Alligator mississippiensis: one gene and its partner. The protein of the gene in region 1 purifies or fractionates together with the protein of each later gene. This does not show direct contact. Links are inferred from orthologs where the notes say so. Each region holds a gene or a part of one and is shown on either strand. Other genes may lie near its edges.

Region 1 (7,838 bases):
TGAAGAGGACTCCGCACCCATTTCGTGGGGACTCTGGGTGTGCGTGGCAGGGTAATAGAAACCCTGTGTGTCGCTCAGAGGAGTTTGGCGGCCTGATCCACCGCCCACCTCTTCCCGTCTTCGAACGGAGCCTACTATAAGACGTAACGACGAGTTTTATGCGCGCTTGTCCTGGACATCCGGAGTTTGTCTGCGTGGAGCCTTGCAACCTCCACGTGTGTTCGTGTTTTCTGTTGTAACCGCAACTCAAGCAAGTTCTCAGCCTACGCCACGACCATCTCGGTGTAAATAAAACAATCTTAAAATCAACCGTTATGTGTCTGTGCCTAATTCTAGCTCGGCGACCTCCCTCTCCGATCCGGCCTGCCTGGGCTACTGGCCACAGCCTGCGTGCAGAGCGACGAAAAGGGCCTGGGGTCAGACCCGGCCCGCACATGGCGACGAGGATGGGATCGGGATCGCCGCGGCACATGCCAATGGGATCAGAAGAGGGCTCGCTAGAGTTAGAATTAGTTGAGAACTGCCCTTGGAGAAGTGGGAGACGCAGCATAGCAAGCGTCAGAGAACTGGAGGCGCACCTCGCGTACCACCAGGCGGGCGGAACGGGCAGGAGATGTGTCCATGGACACCTTTCGTTAAGGGGAGAAGAGGGAACCCCAGAAGTCGGAGCCCTAGAAGGGAAAGAAGTATATCTTCACCCCGCGGCGTTCGGGTGTATCGTGGGCGATGAGCGGGTCCTGTATAGGCCCCTCGATGCTGTGACCCTTGCCAAAGTCGACCCGGCGAGCGCAGTAAGCCCAACCCCCACCCGGGAGTGTGTCCGTTGCTCACGGTGTGCCCGAGAGATGGGACAGACGATGCCAATCGGCTGGTTTTCTCCTTGCATGGTGGTGCCTAGACTGAGGGGTCGTGAGCGTCCGTCCGAGCTCCGCGAAGACCCGGAGACGGAGGACCGCACCGTAAATGAGAGAGTAGTCCTACAATGCGACAAGGGGGGAAAACTAAATGCAACCTTTCAAACTATGGCTGATTTAATGAGTGAAACTTTAAGCTTAAAGACCCAGCTGCATATGGCCGTTCGGGCGGTCGGAGAAGCGGCTGAGAAAAGGGATCTTGAAAAGCCTCAACAAGATGGCGCCGAGCGGAGAGAAGACCATGTGGAGAAGCCAGAAGTGAGGGATGGAGCTTCGGGAGAGCCCGCGAGGGTTCGGCCGGTAACTCCGCCCAGCAACGCAGCGTCGGTTCCGCCGACCGCTCCCCTCTGCTGAAGGGAGGGGGAGTCAAGTGGAGGAGTGCATCTGCCCCTCCCGCCTGAGACAGCAACGACTCCCACTGTAACAATGACTGCAGCTCCGACAGAAACAGCAACAGCAACGACAACTCGCGAAGAAATTGATCAGCCTGCAGTATCAAGCAGCCCAGTCATCAGTCCACAGAGTGCAGTTCAAGCTACCACCTATTACGCTCGTTCCAGAGCCGAACTGCAGAATTTGCGTAGGGAATCCAGGATACGATCCAACGAAACTCTGGCTGTGTGGTTGGGACGTCTAGTCGTGGAACTTGGGTCCGACCTCCTGGACCAGGAAGAAGCAAGCTTCTTGGTGAGACAAGCTTCATGGAGTAGGGGACATGTCACCGACATCGACATGGTGGCGTTTAGCATCTATTGGCCTATTCCGATTCCAGCGCTTGTGGCAGGAGTGATTGAACAGAAGGCCCACGCATGGCACGACGGCCGACCAGAGCACACCGGTGCAGAACAGCTTGTACTGGCTATTATCGGAGTTTCGTATTGCGCCTGGAACCCAAGAGAATGCACATTGGGACTAACACCGCTCCAACGAATGCGACCATGACCTCACCGTCACCTGCGAGACCCTGGAACTGTTCCGGTGACTCTCGACAGCATAGATAGTTATCTTAAAGTCTACAGGCAAAGAAACATCATGGTTTTGCAGATTGTGCTGAACCCACTGGTCGATCATCCTGTGAGTAGTCTCCTTCATCAGTTATCAAGACTGCGCGTCCTCATGGAGCCAAGACTATCCAGTGATCTTGAGTATCAACACCCGACTGAGGCTCAGAACACAAAACACTGCGAATCCGAGCGTCCAGTATTACGCCAGAGAACACAAGAGGAGCGATACATGTTTGGATACCTCCTGCAGCGCTCTGGACTTAATAAGAGACAGCTTCGGATTTTAGGAGACGCGGGACAATGGCAGCTAGCCTACGAGTTAGGTTTTCACTATCTAGAAGAAGGCGATGATGACTCATCGACGATTTCGTCGAGTTGCTAAACGTGAAAAGAAAGAGAGCTGTCCAGTATAAAATCGTGTTTACATATTTGTATTTAATAGTAATGATAAGTTTAATCAACTGCATTATCGTGCGGTCCTGTGTGATTTGTGAATAACCATTTTGAGAGAGTTCTTTTACAGATCAGGGATTCAGAGTGCGTGGTGGAGAGAGGCCCCGAGAAGGACAACATCACCGAAAGGAACGAAGGCCTGATGCGCGATTCCACCATGACGCCCACCGAAGTCATGATCATTCAGTATTTTGTTATGAATGTGATTTTATGTATATGTGTGTGTGTCGGTTATTATTTGATTCGATCCCTTGAGGACGAACTTTTATTGTTGACTGATTTTGTTTTTGCTCGTTTAGTTTTGTGAACCATTGACAGAGCTATGAATAACCCAGATGATAGGTTTGAAGTATAATTCTATTGTGCCTTCAGCAAGGGGGGATGTCATGACCCAAAGGTCTGATTTTTTTGTGTGTGCTTCAGCACTAAGAATTATCCCCGTGGGTTTACAACTTCACTGCACAGAGGAGTTCTGCTGCACAGAGAACCCGCGTGCAAAGGAGTGTTCCCGCCACTTTGCAGCAATCTTTGCAGGGTGCATTTCCCTTTGCAACACAGAAATGCACAGTGCAAAGATTTCCCGCTCATCGTATGCAAATTTGTGCCCCGCAATTGGCTAGTGCTAAATTATTCACACGTAGCGGCTAGCGATTGGCCTGCTAGCCGTATAAGAGGCTTGAGCAGTTTCCGCCCAAGCTGAAGAGGACTCCGCACCCATCTCGTGGGGACTCTGGGTGTGCGCGGCAGGGTAATAGAAACCCTGTGTGTCACTCAGAGGAGTTTGGCGGCCTGATCCACCGCCCACCTCTTCCCGTCTTCGAACGGAGCCTACTATAAGACGTAACGACGAGTTTTATGCGCGCTTGTCCTGGACATCCGGAGTTTGTCTGCGTGGAGCCTAGCAAGCTCCATGTGATTGTTCGTGTTTTGTCTGCGTGGAACCTTGCAACCTCCACGTGTGTTCGTGTTTTCTGTTGTAACCGCAACTCAAGCAAGTTCTCAGCCTACGCCACGACCATCTCGGTGTAAGTAAAACAATCTTAAAATCAACCGTTACGTGTCTGTGCCTAATTCTAGCTCGGTGACCTCCCTCTCCAATCCGGCCTGCCTGGGCTGCCGGCCACAGCCCACGTGCAGAGCAACGAAAAGGGCCCGGGGTCAGACCCGGCCCGCACACTCTGAATTTTGCCATTGACTTCAGTGAAACCAAGAATTCACTCTTTATATTGGGAAATTCACACATCAGTTCCACAAGGATTATCTTCAAGTCTAGATACAGAATTTTTGCAATTTAATTTACTTTTCATTATTTATGTGTGTTACATTTGCATTTCACTCACTTCACTGTGAAAATTCTTTCCTAATCAGCTTCTTTCATGTTCCTATACATTGGCATAAGCCTTAAATGCTGGAGCTGTCAACACTGGTTCCAGTTCCTCAGGGACTCTAATATTTGTTTTAAATTTAGTAGGGTGCAATACCCATTTGACTTCAGTGGGACTACACATGATAGCAGTGTTAAGCAAATGCACAGATCGGTGATTCTCAACCAGGATGCCAGGCCACCCTGGGGTGCTTTGACATCCTTTCAGGAGTGCCATGGGGTGCCAGACCTTAGTACTGGTAAGTGTGCCTACTGGATTCACAAGATAAACCTCAAGATCCTGGCCTGTTGTGGTCTTTCTGAGTTCTGTGCAACAAAAGATGTGCTCTGTTGTGGACAAGAAGTGCCAGGCTGGGGCAGACCAACAGTCCAGCTAGCCCTGTATCCTGCCAACGTGTGGCAGAAGTGGATTTTGTAGACTAGAGGGAGAGCGTTAAACTGGTATCAAAAGCACTGGCACAACCTTCTGGCACCACAGGGTAAGCGAGCGGTGCAGGACCAGCCTGTGGGCCAGATTGGCCCCTGCACCCCAGGATTAGGCCTGCACACCTGGATCTGGACTGTGCTTTCCCAGGACCCCATGCAACCTCCGCCAGGCTGTGCGCCAGGATCAATGCCTTGGCCCCCATGCCACATCTTCCTGGCTTTGCATGCCAGATGGATCCCTGTGCTGCCCTGCACACCAGATCCAGCATGCAGGGTTATGACCTATGGGGCTCCCCACAGCCCTGTGGAGAGCCCCACGAGCCGGATGACAAGATGCCAGGGTTGGATCCGGCCTGTGGGCCAGAGATTGAGCACCCCCGCTCTAGAGCTGCTATTCAGTACCCTCTGCAGGGTCTATGATCGTTGGTTTGGAGCTGCCAGAGGCCAAGGAAACCACTCCAACCGCTCCCTTCAAAAGCCATTTACAGATACAGAGGATCAGCCCCTGCACCAGGCGATCTGCAGGGCCCACTGCCGCCAACCGCGCAGGCCACCTGCGCCGCAGGGAAGGCGCGTCTCTGCTCGGCCTTAACCTCGCCGCCTGCGGTCATGCGGCCCGCGGCGAACTACAGCTCCCAGCAGCCCCTGCGCTTCCTCTTCCTGGCGTCACCTGTTGCTCTGGGCGGCCAAGATGGCGGCGCGCTGGAGCAGCGAGAACGTGGTGGTGGAGTTTCGGGACTCGCAGGTGAGCTCTACCCGCCGCCGCCGCAGGGCGCATGCGCCCGCCCCCCCTGCCCGCCCTTGCTGGGGGCGAATCTGCTGTCCCCGGGAGGAACCCGGGCTGCAGGGCAGGGGGTTCTCCGCTTCCGTCGGCTTTGTGCTGGGGGGTGGCGGGGCTTGAGGCTATCCCGCACAGGGCGCTGCCCGGGGCCCCTCGCCCGCAGCCGGCCGGGTCTGGACCGGAGCCCAGCAGGTGTTGTTGCCGGGGTCCCACAGCCGGTGCTGAAGTGCGGCTGCTTTGTGGGAGAGACGCGCCTGCCGTTCCTTGGCGCAGCCCTTGACCCACCCTCCCAGCGCCTGCAGCTCCTCTGGGCAGCGACTGCCTCGCCAGGGCGGTTTGTCTGCGGTTGCTTCGCATCCCGCGCGGCCTGTGAGCCGCGGTGCTGCCCTGGTGTGGGGCCAGGCCGGGAAAATCCAGAATCCAGCTGGAACCGTGGGGAAAATCTAGATTTGAGTTGGACGGTGTTAACCCAGTGAAACCGTGTTTCTATCGCAAGTCTTTCGCTGTTTGTAGTTACAGTTTAGGGCCTGAGTTGCCTGTGAGTAGGAGGGCAAAACCAGCAGCAGCAGTTACTAGAGAGAGATTTCTCTCTGTCTCTTCTTTTTTTTTTTTTTTTTTTCTTTGTGCTCTTGCACTTGCATAATATGTGGCTGCTTTCAAGAACAGTCTTTGAATAGAAACTTTCCTCTTGTTTTAGCGAGGGTTTTGAGAAGCATCAGGGACAGAAACAAATAAAATGATGCTCTGAGATGGCTTTGTATGGCCCTGATTAATGTGGTCTCATTGTTTCCACATATTTCTCATCTGTTCTCTTGTCTTACACTGGCATTGTAAACCCTTTGGGGTAAGGGTTGCCTCTTTGTCCTGCTGTTATAGTGCTTAGCAGAGATGGACCTTGTCCTTGAGCACGATGGTAATAAAGATAACAAGTAAAACCACCAAAACTAGCCTGAGAGACTCAGGGGGCTTGTGTTTTACCTACAATTATTTTTAATTTGGTTTCGGGAACTATATAATTTTCCAGTAGCATCCTTGTAATTTCTTTAAAACAAAGTTTTATGAAACCTAAAGGACAATGCATACTTGAGCAGTAAAATGGATTCCATGAATTTAATTCATTTTCAGTCATTTCACTTAAGTACTTATGTTTGAGTGACACTTTTTTGTTACCTAACAGTATATATAGCTTAAAATCTGGCACTGTCCCTGATAGGTGAGGGGACTGTTTTTCTGAATATAGGTTTCCCTCGCTTTATGTTGTACATGCATTCCTGGACAACGGTGCATGATTCAAATTCTCATAAAGGGAACTCACTTTACAGTGTAACAAATAGGGATGCATTCCAAGACCTCGACTGTACTGACCCCCAGACCTATTTCTACCACTTTTTTATTTTTACAAGACAATTTTGGTACTCGCCAACAGCAGGCAGTATACGTAAGCAAAGGGTGGTGGTGAATGTTACCATAATGGGGATGGCAACTACAGAAACATGTGTTGCAGACAACCAGCGAGGAATACAAATCCACACAGGAGACTATATTTTGGTGTGTGTTACTCCCACAATGCACCACACTAAGCAGCTGACTGCGGGTTTCTACCATACCAATTGCTAAGAGTGAATTTACTTCGCATATAATACATTTTTGGTATGAAAAGGGTCATCGCATAAGAGTGATTTCGCACATGCAGAACCTGCATAAAGTGAGGGAAACCTGTACGTTCCACCACCCCCAAATTAGAAATAAGTCAATCTAGTAGCCATGGACAGCTGTTGGTTTCAGCTTTGTGCTGTTGAGCCTCCTTAACTATGCTCTGCAGGGGCAGATTGGGGAGTTGGGGGAGTGTAGTTGTACAGTTGTATCCCACTTTGATTTCTGTTTCACCCAAGCTTTAAGGCCAAGTGCCTAGAAAAGAGCAGCATTTCTATTCAGGCAGTGCTGAGGGAGTCAATTAACTTCATGGCTCACTTTAAAGTACCTGATTCCTGATAATCTCTCTTTACTCCATAGGTATAAGTGGCCCTCTCTCCTTTTAATGGTCTTAATGTTCCATTAATCAAGTTATCCTTTTTTTCCTGCAGTTGTGCTGCCTGTTGGCTATTCCTGGTAATATATCTCTTCCATTTCATATCCCTGAAGACTGATTTTAGTTTTAGCTAAAAACCTTAACTGAGATGTAGTAATATTAATTCAGGTGAAAAGACAATTGACAGCGAAGTGTTGAATATACAGTCAAATTCTCAAGAAGGCTAGATTTGTTTTACACGTCTGAGTAAAAGAGATGCATTTAACTGTAATGACTACAGGACTAATAAAACAGTATCTTTGTATTTTTTTCACTTGATTTGTAAAACTAACAAATTAGTACATGTTCCAATAAAGTTTTATATTTGCTTTGATCCTAAACTGAATAATGGCTCCTAGCATATTAATAAATCTAGTTTCCCTTTAACTGGAGAAAAATGTGTTTTGTATTATGTGATGATGCACTATAAAAGCTGCATGCCCGTCTTCAAAATCCTGAATCTCACCATGGCTCTGTTCTAGAAATAACTGCAATCTAGAGAAGGTATTCTCAATGAAAGGGAAGTAATGAACAGGTAAAACAAATGTTGCCTTCTCCTACAGGTGTATTTGCTTTTAAAGCCCCATTCCTAAATTAGATTTCTGAAAATAATAATGATAGGAGATCTGTGCCTTGGTGTCATTTACTTGGAGTCCTTGGATGAATTTGTAGTGACTACCAGACATCTGAAGAGCCAAGACAGCTTCAGCCTGCTAGGAAATATGCCACTTTGGTAACAGAAAAATATGCCACTTTGGTAACAGAAATAATGTTTTTAAGTTGAGACATTTTAAAATGGAACAGGTGT
Region 2 (7,222 bases), on another chromosome or scaffold:
CATTGACTTATCTGGAGCAATCCTTAGCTAAACAAACGTATTCATATAGCAAACTTCCCGATAACCAGGTCAACATGCCGCGTTCACCAATTATTGCCAAGTAGCCACAGGTCCGTCACGCCGAGCACTGCTGGAAATTCAGGTGGGTATCCCGAGCCCTCATCTATATCTCCTTTAAGCCATGGGTAACTTTTGACTTCTAAAAAACTGTAGTTCAACATTTCCATCATTTAAGGCTCTAGCAGTGTCATAAGCTGGGCGAGGATGATGCATGAGATTATCCTGTAAGCTCAGAGGTGCCTAATGCACTTGGAGATTTGACACTAGTTAGCACAATTGCAGCTGCTCCTTTAAAGCCAAAAGAGAGATCGGGTGCTTTGAAAAATTAGGGCCATTAGGGGAACGGGGTGCCCCTGGCTAGGGAGAAGAGTTTGGTAGCATGATGTGCCTCCTGCTTCTGCGTTGTTGATTCAGATTCAGACCTGGGGCAGTAGTGACCCTGCACGGTGCCCGTGTCCTCTCTGGTTGGTGGTCTGTACACAAGTCAGCGTGGGGCTCCTGATGGAGAAGTATCTGTTACGAGACCACTCGCCCCTCCAGCTACTGGCAACACGTGTCCGTTCTCACAAAATATACCATACGGCGAAGGGCAAAAGAGGGAGAACTCCCCTTCCCTTCTCTGGGAGCCACTTCCAGCTCAGGTCTGAGGCCTCATGGAGAGAGGCGTTTGCCTTGCTGCTGGCATTACTGCGTCCATCGGGTGAATAAAAGGGATACCATCCTTCAGGACCCAGCTGGCACTATTTGCCAATGTGATGCTTGTCCAGAGCATGTCAAATCTACTGCAATTCAACAGGAGACAGCTGAGGGGAGAAATAGAGGGTGGCATGTTCAAAGCTTCTAGGGGATGTGGGTGCAAAAGGGGCATTGAGATTAATGGAAACTGTGCATCTCACCCTCCTAGGCAGCTCGGGACATCATGGCTGCAAGAGAAGCCGAAGCGGGATGATTCTGGAAGCATTTAGACCATCGTCAGCCCAGGGCAAGTCAATTAATGAGACTGAGCCTCAGTTCCCCATTTGTACCACGGGGAAATAGCAGTGCCCTACTTTGCAGTGGTGGGGGAGGATGCAGACTTGAGCTGGAGAGGACATAAATTCATGTGATGATGGATTTTGAAACGTGGCTTTGTTCTGCATAGGACAGAAACTCCCAAACACGAAGTTAAAGTCAAACCAAACCTCCATTTGGGTGGATGTGTTTTGATTTGACTTTGCATTATAATTTGTAATACGACACACAATTATTTTAAAATAATTGCACAACAGAAACTGCAAACATTGATTTCAAAATGAAGGATCTTGACATTATCAGAATTGTGGTTTGTTCCCAGTTTTCTTCTGAAGCAAAATTCCAGCTCATCAACTTAATTTCACAACCCGCTTTGATTCTGTCAGAGCTGCCCGTTCCGGTGGTAGATGGTGCTGCTGAAGTTTCCTGCGCGGCTCGGTTCAGATACAGGACAGGCTGTGAGTAATTCAGTGGCCACAACCATCTGTGCCACACAGAAATAAGCTTGGTGGGAGTAACATTGAAGCGGATCAAATGCTTTCCAAACAGGGTGAGCTTGTAACGGGGCATCGAAGAGGAAGGAAGAAGATTTAGCCAAAAGCAAGGCCTGATTGTGCCTTGTCAATTATTATTTCAGTTTGCATCATGTAAATAATAGACAAATTGGGCACAGAACTTAACCCTCTTCTTGGCTGTCTCGGGTGTAGGGTAGGTGACAAGTGTGCTGTATGGGGAGCCGATAGGGTTTTGGAATAAGGGGCATTTCACGTTGCAGACAAGCCATCCCAAAAATTACATTCCCATTTCAGCTCGGAGCAATCTTGAGCACAGGTATGTGCTGCCGACATGCCGCTCATTCTTCCCTGATGGCCAAGTCCAGAGAAGCAGCAGGTGATGGTCTGTCTGATTAGGAAAGCACAGGGCTTGGCTCCTGCTGCTTTTGAAGAGCAAGCTCTGAAGCCTGACGGGGAAGGTCAAAACACCCTTGGCACCTTCGAAGGTGTTTTGCAACCACTGGGTCACAACCTCTCTGCAAATGGGGGAGGAGGAGTCTCGTCATCAGGCAGGCGAGGGGGTTGCGATTGAGAAATGTTAGTGCAAAGCAAACACAGGTGCCAGGATAACTCGGGGCCGGCTGAAATCTCCCTTGTTTGTGAAGTCAAATGCAGTGGCTGGGGTTGCCTTATAGCAGCTCATCATGCTTGCATTGTTTTCATTACATAGAAAAGGGAAGAAAGGCCATGAAGATGTCTAGCTTTGAAGTGTCACCCACCCAAAAAGGTTGTGAAAGATGGTTTTAGATCATCAAGTCTGTCCGTGAGTTCTGGGGTCCTTTGTGGATGCGTGCGTGTGTGTTTTCGTGCCTTTTTGGAGGACCCGACGCTTTTGAGAGAGATGCGCGTGTCTATCCTGCAGACTGCAGTGCAGCGTACAATAAAACGAGGTTAGCGCCGGTACTGGAAATAGTCTTGGGGCTCAACAGGGACTGACTTCCCCTGCTTCTAGCTGAGTTTCATGCTGCTACTTGTACACGCCTTCCAGGACCCAAGCTGGCTCACTGAAAGCCAGCTTGTGTGTCTCTGCCCTGCACTGCGGCATAGGCATCCCGGCGTTTTAACCAAGGTCTTCTACCTGAAATAAAACGAGCGCGTGCTGTGCACAACGCTACCCTGAATACGTGGAGCTGCTCAGCTGTTAAAATCTCCCAGGTATCAAATCTCACGGATGGATATTTCCATCCTTCATGGTTTCTTAGGAGCACCAAGTGCACAGCTGTGAGAGTCCAAACGGGGGCTTTTAGTTTCATAGTGGAGATGGGGAAGATTGTGGGATTGCCCATATATATATATGTATATAAAGCTAATGTTTTTAAAGCTTTGTCAGTGTGAGAGCAAGCTAACCCGCACTTGGGTTCTTAATCCCCAAGGCTTTGTCACCAAAGAGAGCTGAGGCAGTGAAAGCTTCATCCCATATTTGTTCCTTTCAGCTGCTTCCTATTGATTTGCAATAAAGGGGATAGGCTTTGGACAAGCAAGCCGGTGGCAAAATGACACCGTGATGAATGTTTCCTCGGCTTGGGTGCCCCGCGCTGTGTGGCAGCCATAGCAGCACATGCCACGATCCTTTCCAGTCGCAGAAGCTGAACAGGATCGGGCCAGGTCAGTATTTGACCGGGGACCTCCTAAACGCTGCAGATGTTGTCAGGGACTCGGGAGGAAGAAACTCTTCCCTGTGACTCAGGATTAAACGAGCATTTCCAAGCGCAGCGTGAGCAGCGCAACGTGCTGCAAAAGCGATGCACCGAAGATGCAAACCAGGCCCATTTAAAATATGATCTCCCTGTGAAAGCACGGGCTGCCAGCGTCTGTACCTCCACCGAGAGGTGGAGCTGTCTTTTCCACTTGGGCGAGGCTGTCGTCTCGCTCGGATATTGCGTTGTTGCCTCCGATAGAGGCTGGCAGAGGAGGGGGCAGGAAGGAAACGAGTCCTGCCTGGGAGTGCTGGAATCCTTGCTGGCCCCCACCGAGCCCTGTGCCGGCTCGAGGCGAGTATTACACCGTGCATGATGCTCACTCCTCTCTCAGGCTCCTTTTGCATGAAGCTGGCATGTCTCTCGCTGCAGGGCTCTTTCTGCTGCCGGCAGGGCCTGTCCTGCCCCCTTGGCATGTTCTCAGTGCCCTGCCCCGAACGGCAGGCGCCAGACCTGGACCAGCTCGGTCTCCCCAAGGCCCTGCACCCAGGTGACACCCCCTGCCTTCTGCTCCCTGCTTTCCCCCTGTACCGACGGGGCTTTTGGTTACAACATCACGCTAGGAGCTCATAACTAACGAGAAACAGGGATCCTCTGAGATGGGGCATCTATGGGGCTGGGGGGAGGTTACATGTGGACAGTGTGGCCCCCTCCTCGGAAGTCCTGCAGGCCGTGGGGCTGGCAGCGCAGAGGACTATGTCTCCCAAAATGTCCTGCTTGGCTCTGGGCTCCGTTTACCTGTGCCGTGGTGCTGGTTTTGCTACCCGATGGCCGGGCAATCCGGTTGCATCAGCTAGGGCTGCTTTCTCGGGGTGATCACGTTGCATCTGCTTGGGATGCTTTCTCAGCCTGCCCAGGCCTGGCCTGACTTGTCCGTCTGTTTGCTTTGCAGAGCACCCAACCGGCTGGCTGAGAGGCAGGAGCTCGCCTTGGGACTGAGCCAGGGGCGGCCGGACCGTGGCGTGAATGGGCCTGCAGCTTTGGAAACTCCCTGTGAAGCAACCGGGAAACCAGCGCCGGCTGACTGGGGGGAAGGCAGCCTCCAAGCCTGGGCCCAGACGAGTCCCCTGTGACTTCCCCGTGGCTGTGCTGCAATGATGGACCACGGGGAAGCTGCGGATGGTGGCACCCCTGTGCCCAGTGCTGTGCCGGCAGGAGAGCAAGGAGCTGTGGCTCCCAGGGGCCTGGATCCTGGGAGATGGGTGGGGTTGTACAGTCGAGGCGAGAGGACCAGAGAAGAAACGATGGATGCGCTGGGGCGGGAGCTGCTGAGCGGCATCCCCAGCACTGGCCCGTCCCAGGGGGAGACGGAGGAGTCCCCGGGCCTCCACCGGACATTGCTGCTGCTACTCCGGCTCTCCCAGAGCTGCCCCTTTGGAGAGACCCAAGAGAAGTGCTCCCAGCTGCTGCAGGCTCTCCAGGTAAGGTGGCCGGGCAGCTCTGGGCACCAGCTGGGTTGCAAGCACACGTCAGCAGCATGATTGCAACATCACTGCACACGTGATGTGCATGATTACGAACATCACTGCACACGTACAGCCCCCTGGTTCTGCTCCTGGCATGGCCGCTACCCCGCCGGGTGTCCTTAGGCAAGTCGCTTCCTCAGTTTCCCCTCCTATACACGGCCTGCCGTGTCTGTGCAGGAGAGCCTGTCTCTCCCCAGGGGTCTGTGCGGCTCGTGGCCCAGTGGAGCCCAGCCTCGGGTCAGGCACCTGCACAGACGTCAGCAGTCACAACAGCTGTCGTGCTGCAGCGGGATGGTTTTGTGCAGTCCTTTGTACCAGGAAAACACCTGGTGTCCTGCTGGAACCGGGCATTGCTCCCTGGCTCATAGGGCGCAGAGCTCCCGTACCCCAGGGCAGCCCCCATACCCCGAGATCGCAGCTTGCACAGCCCTGGGACCAGCCCCAAAGTGGGTGCAGCTGGTTGCAGGGGAGCTGGGATCCTTTCTCCCCATCCTCTTTGCATTGCTCATGGTCTCTGTGCAGTGGGAAGCAAAAGATGTGGTGTTGCTTTAGGCTCCCCCAGCATAGGTACTGGGCTCAGTCTGGCCCAGCATCAGCACACAGCCAGATGCACAGGGGAGCAGGGAGGCCTGGCGTTGGCTGAGGACACGGGACCAACTCCCTGCTCAGCTGAGACCTTGACATGGGCCCGGTGGTGTAGGGCTGTCTCCTGCACAACCACTGACCTCTGCATGACTCCACTTATCTGCTTGGGAAGATGAAGGGCTGATTCACCCCTGAGGCTCCAGCTGGCCAGTCCTCCGGCCAGTGGCTGCCTAAATGTCTGTGGGAAGTGGTGGAGAAATCTGCTGCCCTGGTATCAGATGCTCTTTGCCCTCCCTGGCTTTGTACTGTATCCCCCCATGGGGACACTCCCTGCAGCTGGGAGAGCCCTGTAGATGGGAGGATAGAGCCTGCCGCCTCTCCCAGAGCACTGGTGAGCTCTGAGCTGGGTGCCATGTGCTGGGTAAGGGATGCCCTTTGGTCCCTGCATCACCAGGTTGCTCTGCAGAGCAGGTGCAGTGGCTGCTCCAGTGCTAGCTAGCAGCAAAGGCAGGCAAGCGGGGGGAAAAAAGAAACCCTCTGATGGGTCAGTCCCTTCAAGCTGGCTCACAGGCACGATGCTCAGCAGACCATCCAGGTCACAGCTCTCTGTGACCTTGCTCAGAAACCTCCTCCCCTGTGCGCAAGGATAGCAGCATCCTTGCAGCTGAATCCAGATGAGAGGAAATAGGGAAGTGACTGGAGAAAGGAGCCCTCCAGGGTGCTTTCCGCTGCCCAGAGAGGAGTTACTGTACATTGCATGGTCAGTATGAGTGTTTTGTGCCACATCCGCTGTGCTTGGATGCGACAGCCCTCGGGGCTTGTATCTGTCGATCTACATTGGTAAAAGATGGAGGCAGCTAAATACCAGCATCGCTTATCCCCATCGCAGACAGTACATGCTGTACTGGTTTAACTGGGGAGGTTGTAGTAGTTTTAAGTAATCATCCTGTTACACACCTGAAAACTTTAACACCACGGAGGTTGCTTTGAAGCAAGCCCCCGACCTCTCCTGTATCAGAAGCCAGAAAACGTAACCCCATTCCCTCTGTGTGGCTCAGCCACGTGGATTTGGCTAAAGCGCCTTCCAGAAAGGCCTCCAGTCTGGATGTCTTGAGCAGTACAGAATACACCACTTTTATTATAAGAGTGAATTGCTGTTGCTATTTAAACAAAAAAAAATCCGTGCCGTTGTTTGCACTGTAACTTTGGCAGGCAGACTGGATTCCAGAGAGCTCAGACACGAGTTGTGGCAAGCTCTTTCTGGACAGAAGCATGGCTGGTTTTCAAGCTGATGGCGTGGCTTGAATATCTGCAGGGCATTTGGTTGGGAGAAGCGGTGTGATTTCAAGAGGAATCCGTTGCGGGTGGTTTTAAGATGGAGCCGGCTCCGTTTATACAGCAGGAGTTGGACTGGAGAGCCCTCAAATGTCCCTCCTAGCCCTATTGCCCACGTTGCTCCTGGGGCACCACGCATCCGTGAAGGAGGCCCCGCAGCCCACCCCGCTCTGTGCTGGCCAGGATTCGCTCTTCCAGTGCTCATCAGTCAAGGGACTTGCCCCAGCGAGTTGGTAGCAGAGTCACTAGGCCATGCTGTAACCACTAGGCCATGCATCTTTCCTCGCGCTGCTGTTGGTTGGACTGGGAGGTTGCTGCGAGGGGTGGGAGGGCAGGATGGGGGCCATGAGGGATGGTGTGACATGGGGTAGGTAGTGTCAGCTTGGAGGAGACAGAGGCTTTGGGAGCCAGCCCGTCCAAGGGAAAAAGTGTTCTTCCCCACCCCTGGCAACAGCCCTGGAGGCCCAGGGGGCTGGGCAGAGATAATCAGAGAGGCCCGCTCTCGTTAGCCAGG

The links. The genes of interacting proteins can lie anywhere in the genome.
Region 2: the proteins of WDR59 (region 1) and SESN2 purify together in Homo sapiens (affinity purification with western blotting; 4 studies listed by BioGRID and IntAct, with this or other methods). This does not show direct contact. The link is inferred for Alligator mississippiensis from reciprocal best matches to the Homo sapiens genes WDR59 and SESN2.

Annotation. Positions count from the first base shown.
Region 1 is NC_081833.1:40,993,161-41,000,998, reverse strand, and holds the start of WDR59 (GATOR complex protein WDR59), read left to right. Parts: upstream 1-4,822; 5' UTR 4,823-4,872; coding exon 4,873-4,926; intron 4,927-7,838. UniProt on the Homo sapiens protein: As a component of the GATOR2 complex, functions as an activator of the amino acid-sensing branch of the mTORC1 signaling pathway. The GATOR2 complex indirectly activates mTORC1 through the inhibition of the GATOR1 subcomplex.
Region 2 is NC_081829.1:2,266,053-2,273,274, reverse strand, and holds the start of SESN2 (sestrin-2), read left to right. Parts: upstream 1-4,217; 5' UTR 4,218-4,416; coding exon 4,417-4,743; intron 4,744-7,222. UniProt on the Homo sapiens protein: Functions as an intracellular leucine sensor that negatively regulates the mTORC1 signaling pathway through the GATOR complex. In absence of leucine, binds the GATOR subcomplex GATOR2 and prevents mTORC1 signaling.